7 linked regions of the Coturnix japonica genome follow. The protein of the gene in region 6 interacts with the protein of the main gene of each other region in a pairwise test. Links are inferred from orthologs where the notes say so. Each region holds a gene or a part of one and is shown on either strand. Other genes may lie near its edges. The genes, in order: PAK1IP1, CHIC2, FKBP6, transcription elongation factor A protein 2-like, CHRD, MEOX2 and PACSIN2.

Region 1 (2,927 bases), about 41 Mb from region 6:
TTCCTCTGGGATTTGTCTTGTAAAATCAGAATTAGATGTTTTATTCAATGCCTGATAATAAGGGCTCTACTATAAATATCTTAACGTCGAAATCTCACTTTATATTTCTCTTCTGAATTCACATATTTTTAATTTCATCCCTCTTTATATTCTATTAAGTGCAGTAGTGAAAATCCTTTTTTCCCCTTCGTCTGTAATCCCAGGTCTGCTTTTACATGATTGAAACAGTGATTGAGGAACTCTTAACTTTCTCTATATTGTTGTCTTTACTTTGGCCAAATGTGTGATTTTCTTTCTTTTTACTGCACAGACAGATCTTCGTAAACCCCTGCATAATTCTGTGGGTTGCTCTGCCCAGCTCTGAGAGGCACAATAGCATTACTAGAAATTGTTTCTAGAGGATCAGTGCTGCCATTCTGCACATGTGTTTGTGCCACATTGTCCTAGGGAACAGGTTGCCCAAGGAGGCTGTGGGTGCCCCATCCCTGGATGCATTCAAGGCCAGGCTGGATGTGGCTCTGGGCAGCCTGGTCTGGTGGTTGGTGACCCTGCACATAGCAGGGGGTTGAAACTGGATGATCGTTGTGGTCCTTTTCAACCCAGGCCATTCTGTGGTTCTATGATTCTCCCAAAAAGGAGTGGGAACTGGGCCATAAAATACTTCCTCAGTTTAAATAGTTTAGTAAATTTTTAAATAGAAGTGATGATTAATTAATTTTCTTTTTCTATGTTCAGATTGAAAACGTGCCATCCTTATTATGTGAAGTCAGCACCAAAGCTCGGCTGACATGCCTTGCAGTGTGGCTTGACCAAGCTTCAGAAACGAAAGAAAATTGTGGAGAAGCTGCAACACCAGCTGAAGGTAATAGAATTGTCTGTATGTTCAGTGGTTAATGTGACTGTGAAATGTAAGATAGTGAATGGGAGGTTTTTACTGTATGCCTTGGAAAAAGCTTTTGCAGTTTGAAGAATTGGGGATGTGACACTGGCAAGTTGCATAGATATCTGCACCCATTTAATAGTGTCTCAAGCATGCACATAATAAAGCCACAACTATGGAAACTATTTGTGAGCGGACACACACACAGGAACTGAGTGACGATTTGGAATGGAGAGAAATAGTTCTTTTGTGTGTGGAAACTTAATTTGTGATACCTTGCATTGTAAGTAGAGGACAGCTTTTCACTTCTGGGATATGAAAGCTTTGTTTCTCTTCAGTGGAATAACACACACTGGGGGAGACTCTGAAGCTCTCACAGAATCACAGGATGACCCGGGTTGGAAGGGACCTCAAGGATCATGTAGTTCCAAACCCCCTGCCTGGCAGGGCCACCAAACATACACCTTTACTAGATCAGGTTGCCCAGGGCCCCGTCCAACCTGGTCTTGAACACCTCCAAGGACGGGGCATCCACAACCTCCCTGGGCAGCCTGTTCCAGGGCCTAACCACTCTCCTAGTGAAGAACTTCCCCCTAACATCCAACCTAAATCTTCCATCTTTTAACTTAAAACCATTTCCCCGTGTCCTGCTATTGTCAGCCCTTTCAAAGAGTTTACTCCCCTCCTGGGTGTAGGTTGTCTCTCAGGACAGATAACAAAAGAATAAACAATTTGACAGAACTGCATGTTCTTGCATTCCTATGAACAAAATTAGATCTGATGCTGGTGCAGCTGGGCAAACTTAGGAAGTCTGGCTTAGGGGTTGGTTGGTAGCATGAGTTGTTTGGGTTTTTTTGCTGTTGTTTTCCTGTCTAGTAAGTTGTTCCATATTTGATCTTTAGATGTTTTCTTAACAGAAAGTTGCGTAGCTGGCACACTCCGCTCTAAATAAACTATGGTTTAAATTCCTCCTTTTTTTAAATGGGAGATACAAACAAGCCTGTAATATTTTAGACTACAGACTGGAAATAAATATCAGAGTGAATAATTTCTTGCTTCTTTCAGCAAATGAAACTGAGAAGCCATCAGTAGTCAAGAAGAAGAAAGTTTGTGGGATGAATAAAAGTGGTAAATTGCTAAAACAACGCAGAAGAATTGTTCCAGCTAAGCGAAAATTGGAAGCTCCACTGCAAAAGAAGAAAAAGAAGCAGAAGCAGAATAGCTCAGAATGAAGGTGAATGCTGTTTCTCCTGGATAAGAAGTAACTGCTGGTGTTGCTGTAGTTTTTACAAGGATATTTTCCAAGCAGAGGACAAATACCTCAGAGCTGATAGGATTTTCCAGAGTAATTTATTTTTTACCCAGATGAATTGGCTGATCACTTTGAGAAGCAATAAAAGAGATGGCAACTTTACCTGAGAGAACGAAGCTAAAATAGCCAGCTAAAATGATAAAAAGAGCGACATCTGCCTCAGTTAAACTTGTGTGTCTCAACTATATACGTATTAAAGTTCTATATCATTTTTCATTCTTATGTTGGAGGTTCTCTGTTCTGACCACTGACAATATGATCTGCCTTTGCCACTCATGAGTTGTGAGAATGCCATGTCTGAATAGGCAGTAAACTCCATTAATATGAGCCCAGTTTAATTCAGCAATGAAGTTTGTTGTTCTGTTTTTAACTTAAATAGGCTCCTACAGTTAACACACAACTTAGGCTTTTCTCTCATTGAAATTTATATATAATAAAGAGATGTAACATTTTGTCTTAGGGCAAAACGGCTGCCTCTAATAGAACAATTTTCACTGTAATTTCAAATACACAAGCCCATGGCTGTGAGCATCACAGTGACCGAAGCCAGGTGTCACCAGCAAAAAGCCAGTCTGCACTTCATCTTCAGAATGCCATGCCCACCGACCATGTCCTTCAGTGTCACATCCACACGGTTCTGCACCACCTCCAGGGTTGGCGACTCCACCACCTCCCTGGGCAGCTCATTCTAGTGCCTGACCACTCTTAGGAGAAGAAATGTTTCCTAACATCCAA
Region 2 (3,709 bases), on a different chromosome or scaffold from region 6:
TTAGACAACATTAAACGCTGTCTGCTATTTTACAGAATATGTTACAAAGTAAACCTTCACATCATTGCTATTCTAAAAACTATATTTGAATTGCAGTTTAATATTTGATTAGATATTAATGTGTTTTCTAAGAAAAAATGTAAAAGCTGGATAGTGTTAGATCTTTTTAATAAGCAAGTCTCTCTTCCACTTAATTTGTGCTTTTGTTGTGGCTAACAAATAATTTGCTGTATAGGTTTTTCTGTACACCATTGACAGAATATATAAGCTTGTCATCCTAGTGTGTTGGAAATGCTACACTCAAATCAAGTGTTCCTTTCTGGTTTTGTATATCCTCACCTGCTCCTCACTGTAAATCATTGAGATGTCAAGAGCAGTGATTAATTAAGCTGCACGTGCAAGTGCTTTTTTTCACCTGTCAAGTAGGAAGAAAACTTACTATAGTGAATTGTGTGATGCTGCTTAATTCATTTCTTTTTATTCCAAGCACTGAGATTTGCAAAAATAATTTACATTCTAATTTTCATTAACATTCTACTATATGTAATGTGGTGTGATTTGAGACTTGTGTGTCTCCCAGTTTATACTCCAGGATGGTTTGGATGTACATCCTTGGGAACACAAATTATCATGGTCACAAGGCTGCGTGTGTTTTTATCTAATGCTGCTCAAATGACTTTAAACTGGGTTCCTATTTAAGACAACCAATTAATACTACATAACTACCTATCAGTTTCTTATTTATGTGTATGCATTGTAATATATTTGTAATTTTATTGGAGTTTGAAAAGCTTAGATGTTTTTCACACTCTTTTGGGCAAACAATGAAATTAAATTGTATAGTGATCTTAATCTATTATTAAGAGGTCCCGGCGAGGAAGATTACAAGGTAGATTCAGGTTTTGAATCGGTTTTGCCATTGGTTTAGCAGCGGGTGGGCAGGCAGATGCCTGCTCAGAGTAGAACCTATTGCCATTTTTCACCATTGATAGAGTAGCCTTTCAGAGTCAATGAGCTCTGTCAATGTGAGCTTGTCAAGGCTACAACTTCATAGACCTGAGAGGCGGTTTGAGAGGTCAGCCCTTTTCAGGTTTGCTGTGATGCAAATGAACTTTAATGCTTAAACAACTATTGGAATTTTTATGTCTGCTCCTTGTTCTTTTTTCTTCACAAAGTCATTGACGAGACATTCAGTGCTTTTTAAATTGGAAGTTGCATTGTGCTAAAGACCTAGTACAGATTTACGGAGGGCTGAAAGCAGTTAGATCATGTTCTTTTCATGGTGCGATTAGAATCAAATCGATTTCCCTACAGCCTTCAGCATTCAGATGGCAATTTTAACAAAGCTTGGGGGCTAGACAAGGGACAAAACGACTGAACTGAATGTTAATTACACTCTGCAGCCTTATTTTCTTTTGATTTGGAGCTGACTGGCAACTAAATTAACAAAAGTGTGACCATAACTGCTGCCCTATTTTCATTTAAAAGGAGAGCAGACTCTAAAAGGCTATCTTTACAAAGAAACAAGTGAGGTCTACTGATTATTGTTAAAGGGCACTGTCTTTAAAAACATAATAATAACAATAACCCCCAAAACGCTCAATTCCAAACTGAAGTGATAAATTAGTCGCTGGCACCTCCACCTTTGGATAATTCCTTGACTTACGCTTTTTAAAATACAGAATAATAAAAATTCAGTTTAATGAGTATTTATGGATGGCAATGATCTAATTTTTAATCACGTGACCTCAGTCCGTGCTCAGACGTGCTTCCCTGTAGCCACCACAATATTGTGTCGGAGAGTAACTGGAGTTTTTAAAGCAGAAAATGTTGTTATATGATGGGAAATGAATAATTTGTTGTCTGATTTTTAGTTTGCTCAGACATTCTTGTTTGCCAGGACAGCATTTAGCTTGATTTGTTAAGGTTCATTTACAGTACTTGTATTTTGTAGTAATAGCAGCAAGATGCTTTCTCATCCCTTCCCCTCACCCCTCTGTGCCTTGTAAGGAAGCTGCAGCTGCACTAAGTTGTATTTGATCCTTGTCATTGCTCCGTCCTTTTGCACCTGCAGCTCTGTTGGTCTCATCTTAACACCTGGCACCATGAATTATCCTCTATTTATTCATAGTCAGTAGCAAATCCCATTTAGAGCTAAGCAGTATATATTCTGGCAGTCAAATGACCATAAATGTCAGAATGTATTTCTCAAATGTAAATACAACAGAATAATTATATTCAAAATGCCGTGAAACTTTACAGCGCAGAAAGTCCTTTAATGCTCGTGTGTGTGGTTTGAAAAAGCTGCGAAGAAACAGATTTTGGAATTCTCTATCTGAAGTGTCAGCTGTGGAAAAGACAGGCATTCAAACTTGGCTTTAGAATCCTAAATACTGGGTTTGCTCTTTATACAAATCATAGGCTTTCTAACATTCGCTTCTGTTGAGTTACTGAAACTTCTTGCGTTTTGGATTCGCTCCCTAAAATCTGAGTATAAAAGTAACAACTCCTTTTTTGTTTGCTTTAATAGACTACTGCATGTTTGTACTCAACCTATGACACTGTAAAATACTGTTTGCAACTTTAGTCTGCTGAAATGCTGACCTTCTAAGAAGCAGCGTTTAGACCGCTGGTACTTCTGAGCTACGCTCCTGCATTTATACTTAGGTCACGTTAAAGTTTCTGTAACAGGTTTTGAAGCTGTAACTGCTACGAAGGTGAATATATGCGAACAGATTTTGTTCCAAACTGGTTATATCTTTCTACACTGTTTTGTCAATAGTTACTTGTGTGTCAAAAAAAGCAGTTTTCCCCACTGGTTACTTTTTAAAACCAGGGAAGTTTTGGTAGTGCTGCAGACCACCCTGTACTCAGTCACTGTCCTGTACCTCTCTCCTTTTCACACAAAAGCAGCTGCAAAACAAAGTTTTTCTAAAACCACTCAAGAGTAAAATTCTTTCTCATTTGTCTTCCAGACACGAAGATCGATTGAGAAGTTATTAGAATGGGAAAACAATAGGTTATACCACAAGGTGAGTGCCGCAGGGAGCAGCTTCGTACTGTTGGAGTTTGAATTGCACAGTATGGAAACAGATGCTTTTGTTGAACGAAAAATATGAAAGGTGGACAAATGGGCCAGTCTGTGTGCTGCAATAAAATACAGCTCATTTTTCTTCTTTTTCTTTCCTCCTTGTCTAGCTGTGCTTGCATTGGAGACTAAGCAAAAGGAAATGTGAAACGAATAACATGATGGAATATGTAAGTTAAAGGGCTGTTTTGTGAGTTTCTCTATTAAATGATCATTTATTTTGCTTCTGATCTTATTCTTTTCGTGATTATTAATCAGTAAAGGTGTCAGGAGCTTAATCGCCTTGAGTGCAAGGATTTTCTACGGTTCACAGATGCATGGTTTCATGTGCAGGACTGATTTATAAAGTTATGAATGACTTGAAAACAAGGCTTCACTGTGTTCTAAAAAATAATAAATTAATTGCCAAGATAAAATAGCTCAAACATGAGCTGATGGAGTGTGAAATTTTAGATGCTGTATAAAGAATAATCACAACTTTGGTTACGCAGCAAGTCAGATATGGCTGTTTTATATGATGCTAATCAAGTCTAAAAGTATGGAAGAAGACCTTTCAATTAAGCTGTTGGAGCTTAAGAAACCTTTAGCCTTTTTGGGTTTTAACTGCCCCTTATCTCAAAT
Region 3 (4,161 bases), on a different chromosome or scaffold from region 6:
TCCCTTCTGCACTGCTGCTGTGCTGGTAACTCCTGGCAAGAAGCGCTAAAAAACAGGTCAGGAAACAAAGGGACCCTGCAAGAAAAAAAGCAGGAATTTCTTCCTAAATCCTGCCCTACTCTCCACTGCTCAGCAGAGAGCAGACAGCTGACACTAAAAAAGAAAACAACAAAAAACAAGCACTATTCCTAGCATAAAAGGGAAAGGCACACTGCTGTAACAGTGCAGCACTGGGTGGCTCCATGATCAGCTTGACAACAGCTCAGGACATAAATCCAGCAAAGGGGTGGAAAAAGGAAAAAAGAAGAGTAACAAAAGATGGGCAGGTTGTCCCTGGGGTTCTGAAGTTTGAATCAGTTCCAGAGAGGGATGAGTTAGGAAGCTGGGGAGTAAGCTCTCCCCCATGCAACAGATAGTTTGATCTCAGGGCTGGGTGTGGAAAAAGCAGCCTCTGCAAGAGCTGTGAGGGAATGAGGAGGGCCTCCCTCCATCAGCATTGCTTTGTGTGCCCCAATCACTGACCCACAACTACAACCCAAAACCTCTTACATGAAAAGGGAGAATTAACAATAACATGGTAACTCACCAGGGAGGAGAGTGAGCAGTGAAGGAGCACTTGGGAAAGCAGCCAAGAAACAAAGACAAAGGGTGGGGGGCAGGGGACACTTCAATGCTCCAGACTTCACAAGGGTTTTGTTTTTAAACAGAGCTAGTTACTGTTCTGCCACTGCAGAGAACTTCCAGGAAGCTGGTGCCCTCTAGTGAAACCTTATGGTTTCTGGTAAAGCTGAAAATAAATGCAACTTGTTTCATCGACTCCACTACGGGGCAGCAAACAAAGGCAGCACCCAGCTTCTCCCCCTGCACTGGGCTGTAAACAGGACAAGGTGTGCAAGATAAACTCTAAAGGGCTCATATCTGCACGGATCCAGCAACCCAAGGTCTGGAAAACTGCTCCTGCATTAAACAAACATATGTAACATACGATCCTCAACAAGTGAGGGGAAAGACAGCAAAGTTTATCTTCCAGGTTTGTGCCCCAAGCCTTATTAAAGCAACTCACAGCTGTCAACGCAAAGAATGTGTCAGAGTCAGCAGAGTCCAGGAAGTCTATCAGCTCCACTTCAAATAAGACCGTGGCATTTGGGGGGATCAGAGGAGGACAACCCTGCTGGCCGTAGGCATAACTCGGTGCGAAGATAAATCTTGCCACCTCTCCTTTCTTCATCGTGAGGACACCAATCTCCAGACCCTGCAGTGTGATATCTGTCACAACAAGAAACAGAAGGTCATGAGAATCCCCAAACCAGCACCCAATCTCAGGTTCCAAATGAGAATTTTCCTCCAGGCTTTAAGAGGAAGTCCCTGTTAGCAGAGCAATACAGCGGTCAGTTCCCCACTGTCACAACTCGAGGCACACACTGCTGCACAACTCACGTCTGGATTAATGAGGCAGACTGCCGTGGGACCAAGCACACAGCAGACATTCTTGTCTCCTCTTGAGTGATTTAAAAACACTGAGGTGAGAAGCTGCTTAAAGACAACAGCAGAAAGCACCACACTGCCACCAACAGCACAGGCCCTGCTGCTCACTGCCGGCATGGTGTGTGATCAGCTCCAGTCTGACCTCCATCTACAAGGAAAAGGCTTTCTGATTCCATTCAGAAGCTTTAGAGATTTCAAAAAGACCTCAAGATGCCAGACAGCAATTAAATTTACATGCCCTAACAGGCAGCCATTAGAACCCCATGAGACCCAGGACCAACCTACCTTCTCCAAGCTTCATCAGCTTCGGGAGCTTCTTGGTGCAGTTTGTGCAGAAAGGTTTCTCCATGTTCTCCAGATACCCAAAGTACTTCACTGCACGGCCCAGAACAAGGAGCAGACAGGAGAGAACAGCAAGGTTTACATACTGTGTCTGATAACAATGCTGTCAGTAGTACACTCAGTCAGTTTTGCAACCACGCTTTTTTTCCTCCCCGCTGCTTTAAAGCAGCAGAGGGAGCACAAACCACTAACAAAAACCTGATCGCATCAGCACTGGGTAAAACAGCTGCTTAGAAGCCTTTATTCTTATCTAAACGAGAGATGCAATTTTGTGTAGAACCAGTGAGCTGCAGACAGGGGGAGAATGGGAAGTTAAGCCACAGAATGAAAACACCCCAGTTATCTGCAGGACTTCACAAACTTGCTCTCAAAGCCGGAGCCCTGGGAACAAATAAAGGACCAAACACAGTCCTTGAGCTGCTATTGCCAGAGCGAGGCCAGCTCCAGTTGTCACTCAATGAGGAGAAACACCATAAGGAGCTTCCCCTGCCACTCGTCAGGCCCTTGTACAGGAACCCCTTCCAGCTTAAACCCTGTGCTGTGCACACGGCTGGGAGCTGGAGGTCCAGCTCTGCTCAAGGTCGAGACGCCCTTCAGTTCAACCTGTCAGCTGCAACAAGTGCCGAGGAAATTCCGTGCACTCAGTGACCAAGCTCAGGGCCCCTCGGGATGGGGGCTGTGCTCCACAGGCCCGGTCAGACAGCACAGCCAACAGACAGCACGGCCGACACACGGCACGGCCAACCAACACACGGCCCGGCCAAAGGGCGGACAGGAGCAGCAAAACCCCCCCAGCCCTCCCGGCTCGGCCACCCCGGTACCGGGGTAACGGCGCCTCCGCAGCGCGGCCCCTCGGCCGGGGCCGTACCCGCCACGGTGGCAGCCGGCGGCACGAGCTGCCCGGTGCCGGGCCGCAGCAGCTCCTTGCGCACCCCGCCGTCCCCGGTGACGTCCTGCAGGGCGGCGGACAGCGCGCTCCGGAACCGGGAGCACAGTTCGGATTCGGACCCGGCTCCGACTCCCACCTCGCCGCCGGCCTCCATCGCACTCCGCGCCACCAGCCCGGCCCCGCCCCCCGGCCCCGGCCAATCACAATCCGAGGATTTCCCGCCGCTAAAAAGCCACGCGCCGGCGCGCCAGGATGGCGGGAACGGTCCTGCGCGGCCCCTGGCCAATGGGAGGAGGGAGCGACACGGGGCTCGCGTGGCACTATGGGGCTCTATGGGGCTCTATGGGGCACTATGGGGCTCTATGGGGGATGTAGGTTTAGGGCCACAGAGATGGGGGGAAATGAAGCATCTCCTGCACCATCAGAAGCTGCTCACCTGCAGCACAGGAGGACGGGGGAGCTCAGCACTGTATGTGAGTGCCCGAAGTGGGGGAGTGGAGCTGATGGGGTCAGGACCTTGTGTGTGTGCAGCAACAAAACGGGGCAACAAGAAGTTACAACAGCCATGGAAATGTGGGGAAGAACCGATTTCCTATAGGAGTGCAGGAGACATGAACGGGGAGCTCGGAGATGGGAGTGTCCAATGGGGACATGCAGCACCGTCTGGATGCCCTGTGCAGTGCAGAACTGCTTTAGAGGATGGGGAGCTCCACAGGTCCCCTCCAACCCCAGTGACTGTGATCCTGTGACTGTGGGTTCTGTCTTCTGTCTTCTCTAAGAGTGAAGCAGTTCTAACCAACCAAACCAACAAAAACAAACAAAAATCCAACACTCAACCAAAGAAGTTTCAGCTGCTAACAAAGCTTTCTAGTGCACATGTTTCCATTGATCCAAGTGTTGTGAGTGACTGAAAGCAGAGTGGGACTCACCGAAACCACCACCAAGGCAAACAGCTTCATTGCTTATCAAGGCTCTGAGTCATATGATGTGTTTGTACTGGGTGCACGAAGCACTGGGCAGCCTCAGGGGGCAGAAGGAGGAGGTACCATCGGCACAGCCTGGGCTGCAGGACACCAGAACTCGCTGCTCACTGCTGTGTTTGCTGCTGGTGACCCTGCAGCACTTTACAAGCAGGAACAGCCTCTGTGGGGCTGAAGACACAGTGGGGCAGTCGGCCGGGGGGCAGCTGCTCCTCACCCATTGAGGGGCCGCTCACCCACTGCCTGCCACGTCCGCCCTTCGGATGGGACTGAACTCTTCAGCTTGGTCAGGAGAAGCCGAGGGACGTTCATCAGGTGTGGGGCACCAGGAAGAGCCGAGCCAGGGCAAAGGAGGCAGCACAGGGCACGTGAGTGGTGGCGAGTCGGACATAATGAGGTTTAATTGTGAGCAACTGAAGCTGGTTCCCCCATGCAGTCTCATGGGGGGGCTGACCATTCATATCA
Region 4 (4,144 bases), on a different chromosome or scaffold from region 6:
GTGGGTGCAGCAGGGCAGGGTTGGACTTGGTGGTCACAGAATCACAGAATGACCCGGGTTGGAAGGGACCTCAAGGATCATGTAGTTCCAACCCCCCTGCCTGGCAGAGCCACCAAACATACACCTTTACTACATCAGGTTGCCCATGGCCCCGTCCAACCTGGTCTTGAACACCTCCAAGGACGGCATCACAACCTCCCTGTGCAGCCTGTCTCCAGGGCCTAACCACTCTCCTAGTGAAGAACTTCCCCTAACATCCAACCTAAATCTTCCCTCTTTTAACTTCAAACCATTTCCCCGTGTCCTGCTATTGTCAGCCCTACAAGAAGTTACTCCCCTCCTGGCATAAGCCTTTCAGGTACTGAAGGCTGCAATGAGTCACCCCGCAACCTTCTCTTCTCCAGCTGAACAAACCCCAACTCCCTCACCTGTTCCTCATATGGGGAGGTGCTCCAGCCCCCTGATCATCTTCCTGTCCCTCCTCTGACCCTTAACAAACTCTCCATTCTTTCTTATACTGAGGGCTCCACACCTGGACACAGTACAACAGATGGGGCCTCACAAGAGCCGAGTAGAGAGGACAATCACCTCCCTATCCCTGCTGACCACCCCTCTCCTGATGGAGCCCAGGATCCCATTTGCTTTCCAAATGGGGGCTCATGGTCATGGGGCTCTTTCCCAACCATAAGGTTTCTTCCTCCCTTCCTCCCTCCTCCCTTCCTCCTCCCTTCCTATCTATCTATCTATCTATCTATCTATCTATCTATCTATCTATCTATCTATCTATCTATCTATCTATCTATCTATCTATCTATCCATCCATCTATCCATCTATCTATCTATGAGGGCTCACAGCCCATCTCACAGCTGCAGCCATCCATTAAGCTCAGCCCACCTGGCCAGGCAATGGGAGGGGTAGACAAGGTTCACCTGTGGCAGGGTGTGGGGAGCTTATAAAGGGCAGCACTAATAAAGGGCAGCACTTCAAGGTTGGAGGCTGAAGGTGTTAGGACTTGCTAGGGCACACCATGGGGCTGGAGTGAACTATGGCTGGGGTGTGCCAAGGGCAGGTGCCCAGCCCGGCCTATGGTGCCCCCCGGCCATATGAGCTCAGCCCTAAAATGGGGGGGGGGGGGGGGGGTGGAACGCGGCCTGCGGTTCCTCGGAGGGGCCGGACTACATTTCCCAACGCACCCCACCAGCGCAAAGCATGCTGGGAGTTGTAGTCCCTCCTCTCGGCCTTGCGCTGGGAGGAGGAGGGCGGGTGGGAGCGACTCGGACTACAAATCCCATAGTGCCCCGCGCGCCGCCCGTTCGGACTGCGGTCGCGGGGGTTGAGGTGGGCAACGGGAACAACCGGCGTCCGTCCGTCCCTCCCCCGTCACAGCCCCCGGGTATCGTCGCTACGGGGAGCGGAGCGATGGGCGGGGAGGAGGAGATCGTGCGGATCGCCAAGCGGCTGGACAAGATGGTGGCGAAAAAGAACGCGGTGAGTGGAGGCCTCCCCCCCTATACACACATTGGGGAGGGGGCACCTTCCATAGAGCCGCGTTATTTGGGGCGGGGGTCCCTGTTTTAAGGGCCGGCTCTGTGTTCCCATTCTAAGGGTGGGGGCTCAGCCTTGCCCCCTCCCCAGGCCTGCAGGTATCAAGGCCTTTCCCCCCCCCATCCCCTTATGCCCTCCGTCCCCATTGCAGTGCGGTTAATCCCACCCTGTTCTACCAGCCGTCTGTGTTGGATGGGAGGGCACTGTGTTCTCCTTATGAAGCCCCTCTACCCCCATATTGTGCCCCCCAGCCCGACACCTTGCAGCTCTCTGCTTCCTTACTAGTCAGCACTCCTTTCTTCCCCATCCTCTTTATTGGGGGGGGGAAACCCTTTTGCATCCCCACCGCATCCCTGGACACATCCTTAGGTGACCCCCAGTGCTTCTGTATCGCCCTCCTGCAGCCCTGTCCTATAGATAAGCTTCTGCTTATCACCATCAGCCTTTAGAGCACAAGGGTTTGGCTGTGCTGCTCTCTGCCTGCTGTGGGTCTTATGGGGTGTCTAGTGGGTCTCATGAGGTGTCTAGTGGGTCCCTGCAGTGGGGAGGGAGGGACTGATGGGATGTGTCAGCTGCTGCTTTTCTCAACAGCATCAGCAGTACCATGGAAGCAAACTGGGTGCAAGGAGGGCTTTACACCAAAGGGACCAGGTGTGGAGGGGTGGGAGGTGATGGGTGAGGTGGGGAATGGATTAGGGGAATGAATGTTGGGTTATGGGGCATTAGGTGCAGCTGTGATTGGTGAGCTTCTGGGTGTTGGACTGAACGCTGGTACCTGTGTAGCTGTTGTACCAACAGGAGCATGTGCTTGGGCTCAGTGCAGCCTGTGATGTCTGTTCCTGTTGATGGAAGGTTTGCTATGCCGTTGTTGAAATAGGAAAGTAGTAACTTTGAATTTGCTTCTGGGCTTCACTGAGAAAGAGGCAGCTTCTTAACAGAGTGGTATGCAACCTTTCCTCTTGGTTGGCTTCTCATCTGTTTATTTTGTATTCGCTAATTTGCAAACTCTTCCTGCAGGGAGATTGCCTGGAGTACCTGTTTGTTGCTCTAGTTTGTGTGTGGATCCCTATTGGCTGCCGTTTTCCCCATGTGTGGCTCCACTTCTGATAACAGAAGCACGAATCACCAGGTCTTTTTGTATGTTAAGGGCTGGATTTAATGGAGCCTTTTTACTGTTGGAGGAACTGAAAGGTCTGGACCTGCCTGGATGGGGAGCTGCTCATTCCTGGGTACTGCTATGTGTGGCTTATGCTGGTGTGAGTTGCTTCTGTGTGTGCTGGAAGCTTTCCTTCTGCTTTCATTTGGCTTTCTCAGTCTCTGTTCTCTAGGGTGGCACTAGCAGCCTGATTGCTTCCTGCAGTGGATGGGAAACAGCCCTTGTGCACAGAGAATGCAGGACAGTCTGTCCATGTCACTACGATGATGGGTCCTATAGGTCTTGTGCTGCAGATGGGCTTGAAGTTGTTAGTGTTGGAAGTGAGCTGTTGGATGTGAACACTGGAAGGCCTTGTTTGATAGAAGAGGGTAAGGAGGAGTTGGCTGAATGGAGGTAGGCTTGTTGTGGCTCATGTTGCTGTCCTTGCCTTTTGTCTTGTACTACCAATTTTAGGCACCTACAAGGTTGCGAGGCAGATTTTCTGGATTATTATGGGATGTGAAGCTGGTACAAGAAAACCTTATATAATGAGTTTCAAGCAACCAGCCCCTTAGCTTTGCTGCTTGATGCTTTGCTCCTAGTACCAGCTGCTCTCAGCAGAGGGGGATGGCAGTGTTTCCACTGGGAAGTGGCCACATGGAGCTTCAAGTGGTAGAAAGAGGATGCAGGTAGCTGTGGCTCTAGGCAATGCTTTTGAGATGTAAGTGGGTGACTTGAGTTCTTGCAGCTCTGCTGAACTCTTTTTACAACCTAATGTCAATAACTGGCACTCACAAAACAGTTGGATAGAATTAATCCTGCAAACCAGATGGGTGCTGAGGCAGCATTTGTGATTCAAAGTGTATTTTTCAGGTGTTAGAGGTCCTAAACTTGTCAGGTGAAGGTGGTGGCCTAATGCTCAGCAGCCTTGATGATGTTTTAAGGAAGAATTGTTGTCTTTGATTTCAACTTTCTAAATTTATTCCCAGCTGTTGCATTTCTTTACTGAAAGCTGAGGCACCCATTCTCTATATCTTTTCTTCTCCAGGATGGTGCAATGGATTTACTAAAGGAGCTGAAGAGTATGCCCATGACTTTGGACTTACTGCAGGTGAGTTGCACAGTTAGGGTGCAGAGCTGAAGTCTGTCTCTGGATGAGCTCAAGACGTTGTGTAAATGAGTGTAGTAATTTACTCTGGCTTTTTGCTTTACTCCAAGCATCAAAATAAATATTACCTCTAGGAAACAGCTCTGCACCTCGGTGTTGGACTGACAATGAAACAGCTTTAGGCCACATTATGCTGCCTGAAGTTTGTGCACAGCTGATGAGGCAGTTACTCAAATTCTGTCTTAGCTGCTCAGAATAAAAGGGAAGATGTAAAGGACAGTGTGCTGGGGGAAGAAGTTCTTTATGTCTTTGTAGTGGTGATATTCAAGACATTAGGGAGATATTGAACAGAATA
Region 5 (4,405 bases), on a different chromosome or scaffold from region 6:
GAGGTGCCGGCGGAACGTCCCGTCGGGGAAACCCGGCTCCCCATTGCTGGGGCTCGCTCGTGTCGAGTGCGGAGGGCACAGGGATGGGGCACCCTGGCAGCAAGGGCGCGGTGCGTGGGGTTGCAGCCCCCCCAGCTGCTCGCTGTGCTGTGGGGAGGCCCAGGAGGAGCTTTCTGGGGAGGTAAGGGCCTGTTGTGCTCCAGCTGCGCCGTGTTTCCCTAGTTACACCGTGCAGCTGGCCGGCTGTTTGCACCGCCCAGAGTTGATTTTGGCAGCCCGGCGTTTCCCCCTCCTCCCCTGCATACCCGCCCGCCTCCCACTGGTGGGGGGGGACCCGGCATCCCGTTCCCTCCCTGCTGGTGGGGGAGACACGGGTGGGACACACCACCCCCCTCTCTCCTTTTGCCCCGTGCCTCAGTTTCCCCAGCTACACTGTGCTCTCCCCAGGCCTTCCCATGGTGTCTGCTCCCTGCCCACCACCGCTGCTGCCCTCGTCAGCCCGGGCTCATGTGGGTGAAGAGCAGGATCCCTACTGGGTGCTGTTCCCGTATCCTCGGCCGTGGCACCTCCTTGGGACCCCAGGTCCTGTCCCTATGCTCGTGGGAACAGTCCTGTGGCACTGCTCTGGGGTCGCCCTCTGCCCTGGGATCTGGGGATGCCAAAGGCACATGTTGTGGGGTGCGTGAGTCTGACAACACGTGGCACAGAGTGGATTTGTGGGGGATGCTGAGGGGAGATGTGCCCTTTGTCCCACGGGTGATCCAATGGTGTGGGGGAAATGAGGGCTTGCAGGGGCTTTATGTCCTGGTGGAGTGTGAGGGGGGGATGTGGATTGGGGTGTACTCATGGTGTCCAGTGCCCAGAAATACCCCCAAGCCCCACAGAGGGGGGTGTGAGTGTGGGTTCTGCATTGCCCCAGTGAGTGCTGTGTGGATGTGACGGGGGTCCCCCACACCCTGACCAGGGGCATGCAGGTGAAGGGGTTACATTTGACCCTCATGCTCCAAGGTTGCTATGTGAGCAGGGGCTCCATACCCGAGGTACCCCATGTCTGGGAGGGGACCAATGGTTCAGGGGGATCCAAGGGATGCTCCGTGCCAAGGGGTCCCTAATGGTGCTTCATGGACGGGTTCTCCGTAGGTACCCTATTATCCCAGAGCAGGGGGTCAGTGGCTGGGGGGGGTCCCTATGCCCAGGGGGCCGGGACCCGTTTGGGAGGAAGGAGGGGGGGCTCGGTTCGCGGCGGGGGCGCGTCCCCCCGGCCGGCCGCTGCCTGCGCCTCATTAGCGGCCCTTTGTTTGCACAGGGCTCGCAGCTCCCGCTTGCCCATGCCGCCGCCTATAAAGCGGGGCCGGGGCCGGCGGCCGGGCAGAGGCGGTGGCAGCGGAGGCGGCAGGCAGCGCCCGGCCCCCCCTCCCCGCCCCCGGCCGCCCGGTTCCCCCGGTTCCCCGGCACCATGCGCACCGCCCTGCTGCTGCTCGCCCTGCTCGCCCTGCCCGCCCGCACCGCCCGCCCCAAGCTCGCCCTGCCCATCCGGCCCGACAGCGATCCGTTGCCCCCCGGGGGGACGGCAGGTAGGACCCCCCTCCCTGCACCCCTTTCCCTTCGATCCCCCTTTCCGTGCACCCCCGCTGCATGCAACCCTTTTTCTTCCAACCCGTGCACCCTCTTTTCCGGCACCCCCCCCCCCCCGGTGCATCCCTTTTATGCCCCCCAACTTCGTCCCCCCCCACCCCCGCCTGCCCGTGCTGCCGTTCGGTCCCAATAACCGGGTCCGTACCCGACGGGGCGGTGCCGGACGCTGTCCGCCCCATCGGGGCTGCGGCAGGGGGGTGCCCGCGGCCCGGAGGTGACTTTTTTCTTGTGGGGGTGTTCCGATGATGGGGTGGGGATTCATCTGCAGGTTGTGCCTTCGGAGGGCATTTCTATGCCCTGGAGGAGACGTGGCACCCCGACCTGGGGGAGCCCTTCGGGGTGATGCGCTGCGTGATCTGCCATTGCGAGACGGTGAGTGCCCCCCACCCCCTCCCCTGCCAGGATAGGGGACCCCCACACAAGAGGCCCTGCTGGGGACGGGATCACCCCTTCGTTCATTACCCCTGCCCCGAGGGAAACGGCAGCGGAGATTCCTCCAGCCGATGCCACACCTGGATACCCCCCAGCAGCGGAGGGTTAAAGGCTCATGCTTCATTCTCCTCCCTCCCCTCCTCGGAGACGGCCCCCTCCCTCCAGCAGCCCCCCGAGGTCAGGGCTGGAGGGGCTGTGCACAGCTGGGCAGGGGGGTGGGGGCCGGGATTTGGCTGCCATACAAACAGCTGGAGGCTGTGCAAGGTGTGTGGGGCCCAGGGGTTGTGCAGATGGGCTGAGAGGATCGGGGCTGCACCAGAGGAACACTGGTACCCACTGCTGTGCCATCCACTGGGGCTGGATGTTGGGGTTAGCTGTATCTGTGGCATAATTAGGCACAATTTGACACAGTTCTTACCACCCCAGCAGAGGAATCGCCGAGGGAAACCAGTGGGGAAAGTGAACTGCAAGAACATGAAGCAGGATTGCCCTGTTCCCACTTGCCCCCGTGCCACGTTGTTGCCCGGGCACTGCTGCCACACCTGCCCCAAAGGTGAGCATGGTGCTCTCACCCACTGCTGGGCTCAGGCTGGGACATGAGACACTGGGCAGCCCCACGGAGGGGCTCCTTGGTGTCAGGGTTACCCGTGCCACATCCATCTCCCTGCTGTGCCTCCCACGCCAGCCTTGCCAGGACCCCCAGAGAAGAGCTCCGAGCCACCTTTCGACACCTTTGAGTACTTCCAGGACAAGGAGGACGAGCTGGACAAGCCATACAATGACCGCTCCTACCTCAGCTCCGAGGGTTTGGCACGCGACGATGCCCGCACAGGTGAGCCCAGGCAGGAAAAGCGGTGCAGGGCATCCCCGTGCTCCTCTAGTAATCACTGTAATTCACCCCCATAGAATTCGTGGCCCTGCTGACGAGCGGCCCCGAGCCGTGGCACCCCACGTCCGGTGCAGTGGCCAAGGCTCGCTTCACCCTGCTGCGCTCCTACCTGCTCTTCTCCATCAGCTACGAGCGGTGAGCACAGCCTGAAACCATCAAACCTGGGGATGCGATGCTGCTCGTGCCTCAGTTTCCCCTCTACCTGCCCTCAGTGCTATCACAGCATTGTGTTGGTGGGGTGAGATTTTGGGAGGGGGCTGTGGGTGCAGTGGGAGACAGGCATTGTGCCATCCTATGGCCCAGCTCATGGGTACCACCACAGGACCCTAAACCCTTGCCCTCCCCCAGTGCCCGCTGTCTGTCTCTCCCTCTCTCCTTCCCGCACGGGTTGCTTCTGCTGTTCCTCACTTCCAGGCCCCTTTACATAGTAAAGTGGTGACTAATTTCCAGCTCCAACCAGGGGGAGCCAAACTGAGCTGAAAATGCTCCTAATTTACAGCCAGGCCGAGCGCTCAGCTCCCGCCGTCCTTCCCAAATGTGCACTCCCTCCCACACGGTGCCAACCTGGGGACCCCTTGGCACCAATGCCAGCTGGCACCCTGCTCCGTGTCCCACCCCCCCTCAGGCACTACATGGGGCCGGTGCCAGGCACGTGGGCTAGGAGTCCCTGCTCAACCCCTGGTGCTTGCAGGCTGGGCCGGCCGAGCCGTGTGCGTTTCAGTGACCCTGAGGGCACCGTGTTGTTTGAGCACCCAGTGCAGAAGAACGCAGCCCCTGAGGACGGCATGGTGAGAGGAGTGGGCAGGGCAGGGTGATGCGCATGGCACACCAATGCCGGTGCCCCATGCCCAGCTCTGCTGTATCCACAGCTCTGTGGGATGTGGAGGACAGTGTCCAAAGCCAACATACAGCTGCTGCGTGCAGAGCAGCTCCGCGTGTCCCTCATCACCCGTGCTCAGCCCTCCGGAGAGGTGCATGGACACATCCTGAAGCACCGTGCACTCTTTGCAGGTAAGATCCACCCTCATGTACCCCCACACCCATGTACCCCCTGAGGGGGTTCCCTTTAAAGTGCTCCTCATGTCTTTCTCCCTGCACAGAGACATTTGGTGCCATCCTGACCTCATCAGACCCTGCACATCTTGGGGCCGGGGGCATGGCCATGCTGACACTGAGCGACACTGAGAACAACCTACACTTCATCCTCATGGCCCGTGGGCTACTGGAGCCAGGAGCTGGGGGTGAGGGTGGGCACGGGCACCTGCAGGGCATGGCATCACTGGGGGGACTTGGGGGTCCATGGTGTGCAATTGGCTTGGGATGCATGGGGTCAGGATGGGAGTGCGCAGGGGGATTCAGATGTGCATTTTGGGGCACAGGGTGTGTGGGGGTGCAGTGGGAGTGCATGGGTGGGTGGAAGCTTGTATAAAGATGTGGGGTTGCAGAGTG
Region 6 (4,172 bases):
TCCAAGTGTGATGAATCTGTCACCAAAAATTAGGGAGGGGGGATGAAATGCTTTAAAGGACGTCCATTTGTTTAAAAAAGCAGATTAATGAGAAATAAAGGGAGTGATTTTTAATCTAATGAGGGGCGATTATGGATTACAAATATAGAAATGCAGCGACTAACAACAGTTCTTGCTGCCATACATTAGGATGGCATTAAGTAGCATCAGAGCTTAGGATTAATAAAGGGGTGGGGTTAAATGGTTGGTCCAAAATTCTGCCTTTTCCTGAAGAAAAACCAAAGACATTGGAGCTACCCAGCTGCTGTCAGAAGGTGCCTATTTTCAGTTTGTGAAGTTCCTCATTGTGTGAATGGACAGAACGCTTTCTTCCTCGGAGAGAGAAGGGGGCAATCAGCAGTTAACTACTTTGGTCTTCTGAAAGTCTCAGAAAGTGAGGTGTGTAGCACAGTGCTATCAATGTAAGCACAATCGCAACTTGATGTTCCCACCCGTGTCCACTAAATCCAATGGAAGGCTGCAGTCATTTCAGGATACAATCTGTGACATTCCTCAGTGTGTTTTTTTGTATGCATCACAAAATTAAATAAACAGAAAGCAATACGGATACTTCCCTGTCAGTGAAAGGGACCCATTTCCTTTTTTTCCCTTCAGCTTTAAGTACACTGACAAATACAATAAATCCCTACACCGACAGGCATTTTTCAGTAGTAACAGGGACTCAAATTGTAGCACTCCCCATCTGCCGCACAAAAATCTGACAATTCCTTTTATTTCATAAAGCGTAAGGAAGATGCAATGATGGAATTCACCACCGCTGTTTGACAAAGTACAGCTTTCATTCCTGGAAGACTTTTCAGCCCGGCTACATGAGATAAAACTCAACTAATCCTATCTTGAATGACAAAATTAATTTATTAATGTAATAATGGTATCCTTTGGGGTCATTTTCCTAAACGGTTCCAATCGTCCACCACTCTACTGAGCCAACAACATTTTGGCTGCAAGAGGTCACGGTTTCGATTGGGAACTCCACAGCTCTGTGGAAAAGCCTTTCACTTTCTCTTCCTTGATAATATACAATTCGCTACGCCCGCTCAGGAGCTCTCAGAGCACCGAGTCCTTTCCTTCCCAAGTGCCCACTGCCCCCTCGCTGCATCCCTGACGGCCCTTTGGTTTGTGTGTGCTATCTTCACATCGCCTGCACCGCACGCCTTCGGTCAGAGCTGCCCATGCCAGGCTCAGCCGGCTTAAGCAGAGATTATGTCAAGGCTTTTGCGCGCTCAGAGCTCCTGAATCACCCTCCTAAAATAACTGCGGCTCTATATGTTTTTCTGCTCGTCTTTAAGCAAGAGTTGTGGTGTTGTGAAAAGTCAGACAGCTCCTTCCTTCCCTCCGCCCCCGGTACTAGCAACTTTCTAAAGCTTTCAATCACCCGTTTGGCCTACGGACCCCAGTTTTCTCCCCTTCCACGCCGAGGACCGAGCTGCACGCACGGCCAGATCCTACGCACGGAGCGCAAAAGCTTCGGACCGTCCCGTGCAGCCCCACGCTGCGATCTCCCTCTTCAGCGCCGCGATGCCGCAGCCCGCGGTCAGGGCGGAGGCAAGGAGCGTGTCCCGTCCCCAGCTTCGAAGCAGAGGTGGCGGATCGGCAAGAGGGAGGGGGACGAGGGGCCAGATGCTAAAATCCATTCCGAAACTACGAAAGCTCTCGCCCTGTCGGATGGAAACTTTCCTCCCGCCACCGCCACCTTCACTACTTCATGCGCTATCACGTGCTGGATTTTTCCTTTTTATTTCTCCCCCCCCCGCGGCCCTAATAAAGCTGCCCTTAATGACGGACATCCCGAGAACGCGGCCGAGGGCAGCCCGGTGGCAGCCCCGCTGCAAACGGAGCAGGGCCGAGCCGAGACAGCCGGGGCCCTGCAGCGCAGCTCCCCGACACCCTCCGCCCGGGGTTCCCTCCCCGCAGGGAAAGCCGCCGTTACCTGAGCTGTCGCTTTTCCTCTTCCCAGATCTCTTCTCCGTTTCCACAGGGGACAGAGCCTGCCTGCCATAGTCCCCCGGCGCACACGCTGCCCCCGTAGGGGTGGTAGTGCCCAGGCTGGAGGAGTTCGAACACAGCACGGGGGGGCTGCTGCCCAGCTCCGGGGGTCCTCCTGAGTCCGGCTGGAGGCAGAGGCTGTGCCTGGCCGCGGCGGGAGGAGACGACATCTGAGGGATGTGCCAGTTCGTCTGCAAAGCCTGGTGCTGCTGTTGCTGGTGGTGGTGGTGGTGATGATGGTGGTGATGGTGGTGCCCCCTATGATGCTGGCTGGCAAACATGCCCTCCTCATTGGGGTATCCCGTTATTATGCAAGAGGAAGAAGAAGAAGACAGATCGGGGTAGGACATGTGGTCGGATCTTCCATGCAGGGCAAGAGAAGACTGGGAGAAAGGGTGCAAGCTCTGCGCGGTGGCATGGGGGCTGCGCAGGCAGCCAAAGAGTGTGTGATCCATGGCATGCAAGTCTCAGGTTCCAGGCAGGAGAGTTTAGGAAGGATCCAACTTCACCACCCTTTGTCAACTTTCACTGTAAACAGATCGGGGCTGGGATTTTTTTTTCCAAAACGGCAACGACCGACTTTGCAGCAGGCGACTGAGCTCAGATAATCCAGGTCTTTAGCCCTAGCGGCCAGTCTCCGCTGCATAAACACTCGGACCTAGATGAGCCTTTCTCAGAGCCGCTCGGATGTCAAGAAGTGGGAGAGGTTGAAGCCAATAGAAGGTGGTCCCAGAGAACTGCTTGAAGGGGGAAACGGCTCCGAGAGGTTATAAATACAGTAGTGTGTAATGTGAGCTGGGGGCTGGCTTAGCGGCACAGCACTGACCACATGCAAACTCCCTCCAAAACGCCAGCGCCGTCCCCGCGCCGAGCGGCTCCGGCAGCGGGCGGCAGCGCTGCGCGCCCCGGGGGGGGGGGGGGGGGGGGGGGGGGTGGCCGGGGGCGGCCCGGAGGGGAGCAGCGGCTTCTCCTCCCCCTCGACGCGAGGAGCGCGTCCGCCGCTCCGCCGGGGCTGTCCGCTCCCCCCTCCGGACGGATGCGGGGCGAGGCGGGGGGCGTCTGGGCCCCATGGGGCCATCCCCGCACCGCACCTCTCCCAGAAGGGAGCGCGATAAAGGACACCCAGCGGGATGTGCACAGGGGCGAAGTGTGGGAGAAATCAAATACACCTGGAGGGCGCGGGGCTGCAGCCCCACCTGAGCTCCCAGCGTACCTGGGCACGGCACGGCCCGGCTGTGCGAGGCTGTTCTGCCTAGCGCAGCCCCGCAGTCACCTCCGCGCACACCTCGCCCTTAAGGACAGGAGGGACCACCAGTGCCTGTGGGTCTACAACTAAACTCCCGGCGCTCAGCGAGCCGCCACGTGTTTTCGAACACAGACAAGTCGCCCCTTTTGCCCCTCCAAAAGCGCAGTTTACCCAACTTCTCTGCTTCTCCATTTGCTACATTGCAGCCTTTATAGTGGGACAACCTGGAGAGGGACAGCCCGGGCTGCGCGTGTCGTGGGATTAGCAGTAGCGCCGAGGAAGGCTGTATACGGGTTTATATTAAGATAAAGCGCTTACAGAACGCTGCCCAAAGAGATGCCCGCTGCCGAAACGCTGAGTTCCTTCTCCCTTTCTCTTCGCTCTACCTTCCTCGTCCTCCCCGCAAACCAAACTTGAAGTGAAAAGGAAATAAATAAATAAATAAATAAAAAATAAAAGGAAAAAGAAAAAGCACCGCGCTCTGTCATTTCAGTCTAAACTCTTGGGTCCATGTGCGAAAGATAAAATGAATTCGAATTGCCATTGGAAAAAATCAGGAATTGTATGAGATTTGCAAGAGCTGGTTTCTTAAACGGAAATTGAGTCCTATTTTGTGGGAAATTAGTTTTGCAGACTTTCTGGGGGAAAAAAAAAAAAAAAAAATCTAAAACTTTTGTTCAGCAGCTGCTCCGCTTTTCCTTGCAGTTTCAGGCTGAGCTGGAACCTGCAGCAGCCTTTCGACGGTAAGACTTTCCCCCCTTTTCTGCCATCTAATGCTTTTTAAGTATTGTCTCTAGATTTAACTGTAATAATGAGGTCTTTAAAAAGGGAGCGGCGTCCAAAGCAGAAGTCGCTGCCTCCGTGCACTGTTCAAAACTTG
Region 7 (3,709 bases), on a different chromosome or scaffold from region 6:
CCTATACTTACACTGCAAGACTAATAATGCATAGATTCTTTTGTAATGCTGTATTTATATTTGACTGAACTGTGTTTACTGAATGGCAAGCTTGCTTTTTTAATAACCTTTTTTTCCTACAGGAGGACTTGTCACCCTTGTGGTGTTCTTTCTGGGAACTTCCAGCATCTTCCATGCAGATCATACTACAATTTATTTCTGATATCTTATATAAGTTAGGTTTTAAGATTAGTTGAAAATTGGATATACTGGATTGTATAACCAATGAATTCCTGATAGCAGATTCTTTCTTGTACTGTTGCTGTATGTGTATTAGAGACTTAGCTTGCCTTCAGATGTTTCAAGCAGGAATTGCTAAGTGTTTGTATCTTTACAGGTTGGAAATTACAAGCGGACAGTAAAGCGAATTGATGATGGTCACAGACTTTGCAACGATCTCATGAACTGTATTCATGAACGTGCACGGATAGAGAAGGTCTATGCTCAGCAACTTACAGAATGGGCAAAAAGATGGAAACAACTGGTGGAAAAAGGTAATACATTCTCATTTTGAACTCTTAAAGATTTCTCAAATAGGAAAAAAAGACTGGAATGCTCTTGGTAAGTTGAAAGTAGAAATGCTTAGCTTAAGTGGAACCTTTGCAAATGGCTTAGCAGTGTAACAAATGGGTCTTTCAAAGATCAAGCTTTCCTTGGTTAAGACAAAGAAAAACAAAACAAAAAAAAACAAACAAAAGACAAGACTTAGCTCCTTTTCTAATTTGCTTGTTTCTTATGGAAATGGATGAATCTTGCCATCTGGTGTTGATGTATCCAAATAAATTCAGTTCTATGAATTAGCTGTTTCTGGGTAAATAATGGTAGAGAACACAATGTTTGAAAGTTTGTCTGCCTAAGAAGGTGTCAGTGGTTGCTGGGGAAACATTAATAGAAAAGTAATGTTTTAATGAAAGGCTGATCTGATAGCATTTTAGTTATATTCTGAGTTAGCTTTTCTTTTCATGGTTGTCCATGCTTAAAAATCTGTTGAGAAATCGAAGGCAGCTCAAAGACGAGCTAATAAGCATAATATTGGAAATTGCAGTTTAGGGAGACACAGGCCAGACTAAATGAATATTATTTAAGTATGATTGTAACATGTTGTATTCTAAAACTGTCTGGAAAAAAAATCCCTTTTCTAGATTTGCATAATTATCTACGAATTCCTATTTAGAGATGAATGTAAGTCAATAGCTTCAGGTAGTCTCTTGAGAATATAAGTTCCATGTGGGTGATGGTTATTGAGAATGACACTTTCTGTTGTGTTTAGGCCCACAGTATGGAACAGTAGAAAGGGCTTGGTGTGCTTTTATGTCAGAAGCTGAAAAAGTGAGTGAACTACATCTAGAAGTAAAAGGTTCACTGATGAATGAAGACTTTGAAAAAATCAAGAACTGGCAGAAGGAAGCCTTTCATAAACAAATGATGGGAGGATTTAAGGAAACCAAAGAAGCAGAAGATGGATTTAGGAAAGCTCAGAAACCCTGGGCAAAAAAGCTGAAAGAGGTACAGCAGTAGATTGTATTAGATATCCTGTGTTACAATATATTAATGTCTCAAATCTCTGTAAGGGAGTAAACTCCCTATTTTCTCTGCTGGACCCTCCTTTCTCAAAAAGATCTCTTGCTTTCTGTCCTCTTCTGAAAATAAGTATTTTCTTTTGGTCTCTTCTTAATCTTGGTGACTTCACTGAAAATCTGAAAAAAAGTAGAATTGAAGTTATTTTAATAATATCTGGTCCCATGCATTGGGATGTTACGTGTTGTTCAAAGAAATGATCGGGGAAAAGTATTTGCAGATTTTCTCCTTGTAACACAACCTTCTTAAATGACAGGTTTGTAGAAGAAGGGGAGCAGAGGAACATGGGCATGAGGAAAAATTGTTGTACTTGAGACTTCCTGTAAACCTTTCTTGAGTCTTTCTTCACTTTTCTAAGCTTTTATAAGTGATATTTGTTGTATGGTAAAATATGTTGATTTCAAAGTACTACAAGAATTTCCTTACACTGATTATTGTGTAGTGTTCAATCCTTGGCCAAAACAAAAAACGTACCAAAAAACCTAAACCAAAAAAAAAAAAAAAGCCCCCATCCTGAAATAAAACCATCACAGTTGTTTTATAAAGTGTCACAGGTGTAGAGATTCAAATCTTCTTTTTAGGTGGAAGCTGCAAAGAAAGCATACCATGCGGCCTGTAAAGAGGAGAAGCTGGCTATATCTAGAGAGACAAATAGTAAAGCTGATCCAGCGCTAAATCCTGAACAACTCAAGAAATTACAAGACAAAGTGGAGAGAAGCAAACAAGATGTACTAAAGGTATGACTAATATATAGGCTGTCCATGTGTAAAGGTCTTATTCCTCCTGTATGTGTTGTGGACTGCAGCACGGCTTCTTCTGTAACAGTCCTATGCAAAAATTTGGGATTTTTAACAAGGCATGTCATTGCTATGTTCTTTCCTGAAGAACAGATGATATAACCTCTATTTTACGTAAGTACTTTGAGTAGGGAAAGAAATAGAATAATACAAGTGTTCTTCATATTTGATAGTGAGGACAGAGTTACTTCATTTGAGAGAATATGAGATAGATGCTTAAAGTGTACTGGCATCTAAATGTGTCAGCATTCCTGACTGTACAATACACACTTCTTAAAAAATTATTATTGAAGGAAATGAAGTTGATACAGTCTATTTAAATGAAGTGAATGTGTGACTTCTGTTTTTTAAGAAAATATTTCCCTTTCCAATGTTGCTCTGTGATCTGGATGGCCAACATTATGTTTGGTGGTATCTCTTACTATCTCTGGACTACTGTTGTAAATTAATCTAGAGTCCAAGATTGTGTTTGTTAACTGAGCTCACTAGATTTGTGACTTATGTTCACAGGAATGTATGCAGTTATACTTCTTTCTGTTTGTAACTCACGGTGGACTGCGTAAATTGCTGAAGGGGAAATGCTAAGACTTCAAAATTATTTGGAGATCTTTAACTAAGAGAACCTGTAAATTGAAAGACTACTTGCTCTTATACTAAACACCTCCTTTGTTTTTTATATTTAGGATTACGTTTACTTTTTTTATGATTTCTAAAAAGCTGGAGAGGAGGCTTAGGCCTTTATTGTAATTGTTTTGTTATTTTGTTAGGTAAATCTCATCATGATCAAACAGGGTAATGGTGGTAATACAATGAGAATGTGGTTCAGTGTATTTTACTCCAGGTCTTGCTTGATACTATATTTGTGGGTCTCATAGGACTGTAATAAAAATATTGCTAATTGATTTCCTTTTTTCTCATTCCACCTCAGACAAAAGAAAAGTATGAAAAATCACTGAAAGAATTAGATAATGCCACTCCTCAGTATATGGAAAACATGGAGCAGGTATTTGAACAGTGTCAGCAGTTCGAGGAAAAACGCTTACGTTTCTTTCGAGAAGTGTTACTGGAAGTTCAGAAACACCTTGACTTGTCTAATGTTGCAAGGTAAAACTGTGCAAGACCTCAAAACTAGTGCTTAATATTTCTAAGCCAAAAGTAATCCATGCTTCAAGTAGGTCGGTTTAAAATCTGACTTAATATGTTGCTCAGTTTACTAAAAGTGGAATACATTATTTGTTTGATTTGTCTAAGATCTGGTTAGCATCTATTCCTAGCATTTGTTAGTTACCTTTAAA

Evidence for each region.
Region 1: the proteins of MEOX2 (region 6) and PAK1IP1 interact in a two-hybrid assay, tested with the Homo sapiens proteins (2 studies listed by BioGRID). The two-hybrid records come from large-scale screens. The link is inferred for Coturnix japonica from reciprocal best matches to the Homo sapiens genes MEOX2 and PAK1IP1.
Region 2: the proteins of MEOX2 (region 6) and CHIC2 interact in binary tests that used the Homo sapiens proteins (3 or more experiments, as listed by UniProt). The two-hybrid records come from large-scale screens. The link is inferred for Coturnix japonica from reciprocal best matches to the Homo sapiens genes MEOX2 and CHIC2.
Region 3: the proteins of MEOX2 (region 6) and FKBP6 interact in binary tests that used the Homo sapiens proteins (3 or more experiments, as listed by UniProt). The two-hybrid records come from large-scale screens. The link is inferred for Coturnix japonica from reciprocal best matches to the Homo sapiens genes MEOX2 and FKBP6.
Region 4: the proteins of MEOX2 (region 6) and transcription elongation factor A protein 2-like interact in binary tests that used the Homo sapiens proteins (3 or more experiments, as listed by UniProt). The two-hybrid records come from large-scale screens. The link is inferred for Coturnix japonica from reciprocal best matches to the Homo sapiens genes MEOX2 and TCEA2.
Region 5: the proteins of MEOX2 (region 6) and CHRD interact in binary tests that used the Homo sapiens proteins (3 or more experiments, as listed by UniProt). The two-hybrid records come from large-scale screens. The link is inferred for Coturnix japonica from reciprocal best matches to the Homo sapiens genes MEOX2 and CHRD.
Region 7: the proteins of MEOX2 (region 6) and PACSIN2 interact in binary tests that used the Homo sapiens proteins (3 or more experiments, as listed by UniProt). The two-hybrid records come from large-scale screens. The link is inferred for Coturnix japonica from reciprocal best matches to the Homo sapiens genes MEOX2 and PACSIN2.

Annotation. Positions count from the first base shown.
Region 1 is NC_029517.1:66,932,940-66,935,866, reverse strand, and holds the end of PAK1IP1 (p21-activated protein kinase-interacting protein 1), read left to right. Parts: intron 1-735; coding exon 736-862; intron 863-1,945; coding exon 1,946-2,112; 3' UTR 2,113-2,414; downstream 2,415-2,927. UniProt on the Homo sapiens protein: Negatively regulates the PAK1 kinase. PAK1 is a member of the PAK kinase family, which has been shown to play a positive role in the regulation of signaling pathways involving MAPK8 and RELA.
Region 2 is NC_029519.1:59,097,812-59,101,520, forward strand, and holds part of CHIC2 (cysteine-rich hydrophobic domain-containing protein 2), read left to right. Parts: intron 1-2,975; coding exon 2,976-3,032; intron 3,033-3,198; coding exon 3,199-3,258; intron 3,259-3,709.
Region 3 is NC_029534.1:199,812-203,972, forward strand, and holds the start of FKBP6 (inactive peptidyl-prolyl cis-trans isomerase FKBP6), read right to left. Parts: upstream 2,906-4,161; 5' UTR 2,871-2,905; coding exon 2,696-2,870; intron 1,861-2,695; coding exon 1,771-1,860; intron 1,267-1,770; coding exon 1,064-1,266; intron 1-1,063. Other genes in the region: E3 ubiquitin-protein ligase TRIM50, read left to right, coding at 3,960-4,011. UniProt on the Homo sapiens protein: Has an essential role in spermatogenesis. It is required to repress transposable elements and prevent their mobilization, which is essential for the germline integrity.
Region 4 is NC_029535.1:8,421,254-8,425,397, reverse strand, and holds the start of transcription elongation factor A protein 2-like, read left to right. Parts: upstream 1-1,302; 5' UTR 1,303-1,420; coding exon of another isoform or gene 1,421-1,489; intron 1,490-2,349; exon of another isoform or gene 2,350-2,488; intron 2,489-2,563; 5' UTR 2,564-2,685; coding exon 2,686-2,775; intron 2,776-3,729; coding exon 3,730-3,792; intron 3,793-4,144. UniProt on the Homo sapiens protein: Necessary for efficient RNA polymerase II transcription elongation past template-encoded arresting sites.
Region 5 is NC_029524.1:13,952,544-13,956,948, reverse strand, and holds the start of CHRD (chordin), read left to right. Parts: upstream 1-1,424; 5' UTR 1,425-1,456; coding exon 1,457-1,574; intron 1,575-1,903; coding exon 1,904-2,007; intron 2,008-2,496; coding exon 2,497-2,620; intron 2,621-2,752; coding exon 2,753-2,899; intron 2,900-2,973; coding exon 2,974-3,091; intron 3,092-3,647; coding exon 3,648-3,744; intron 3,745-3,825; coding exon 3,826-3,967; intron 3,968-4,056; coding exon 4,057-4,197; intron 4,198-4,405. UniProt on the Homo sapiens protein: Dorsalizing factor. Key developmental protein that dorsalizes early vertebrate embryonic tissues by binding to ventralizing TGF-beta family bone morphogenetic proteins (BMPs) and sequestering them in latent complexes.
Region 6 is NC_029517.1:25,764,077-25,768,248, forward strand, and holds the start of MEOX2 (homeobox protein MOX-2), read right to left. Parts: upstream 2,899-4,172; 5' UTR 2,502-2,898; coding exon 1,991-2,501; intron 1-1,990. UniProt on the Homo sapiens protein: Mesodermal transcription factor that plays a key role in somitogenesis and somitogenesis and limb muscle differentiation. Required during limb development for normal appendicular muscle formation and for the normal regulation of myogenic genes.
Region 7 is NC_029516.1:62,881,845-62,885,553, reverse strand, and holds part of PACSIN2 (protein kinase C and casein kinase substrate in neurons protein 2), read left to right. Parts: intron 1-376; coding exon 377-533; intron 534-1,309; coding exon 1,310-1,545; intron 1,546-2,198; coding exon 2,199-2,354; intron 2,355-3,342; coding exon 3,343-3,518; intron 3,519-3,709.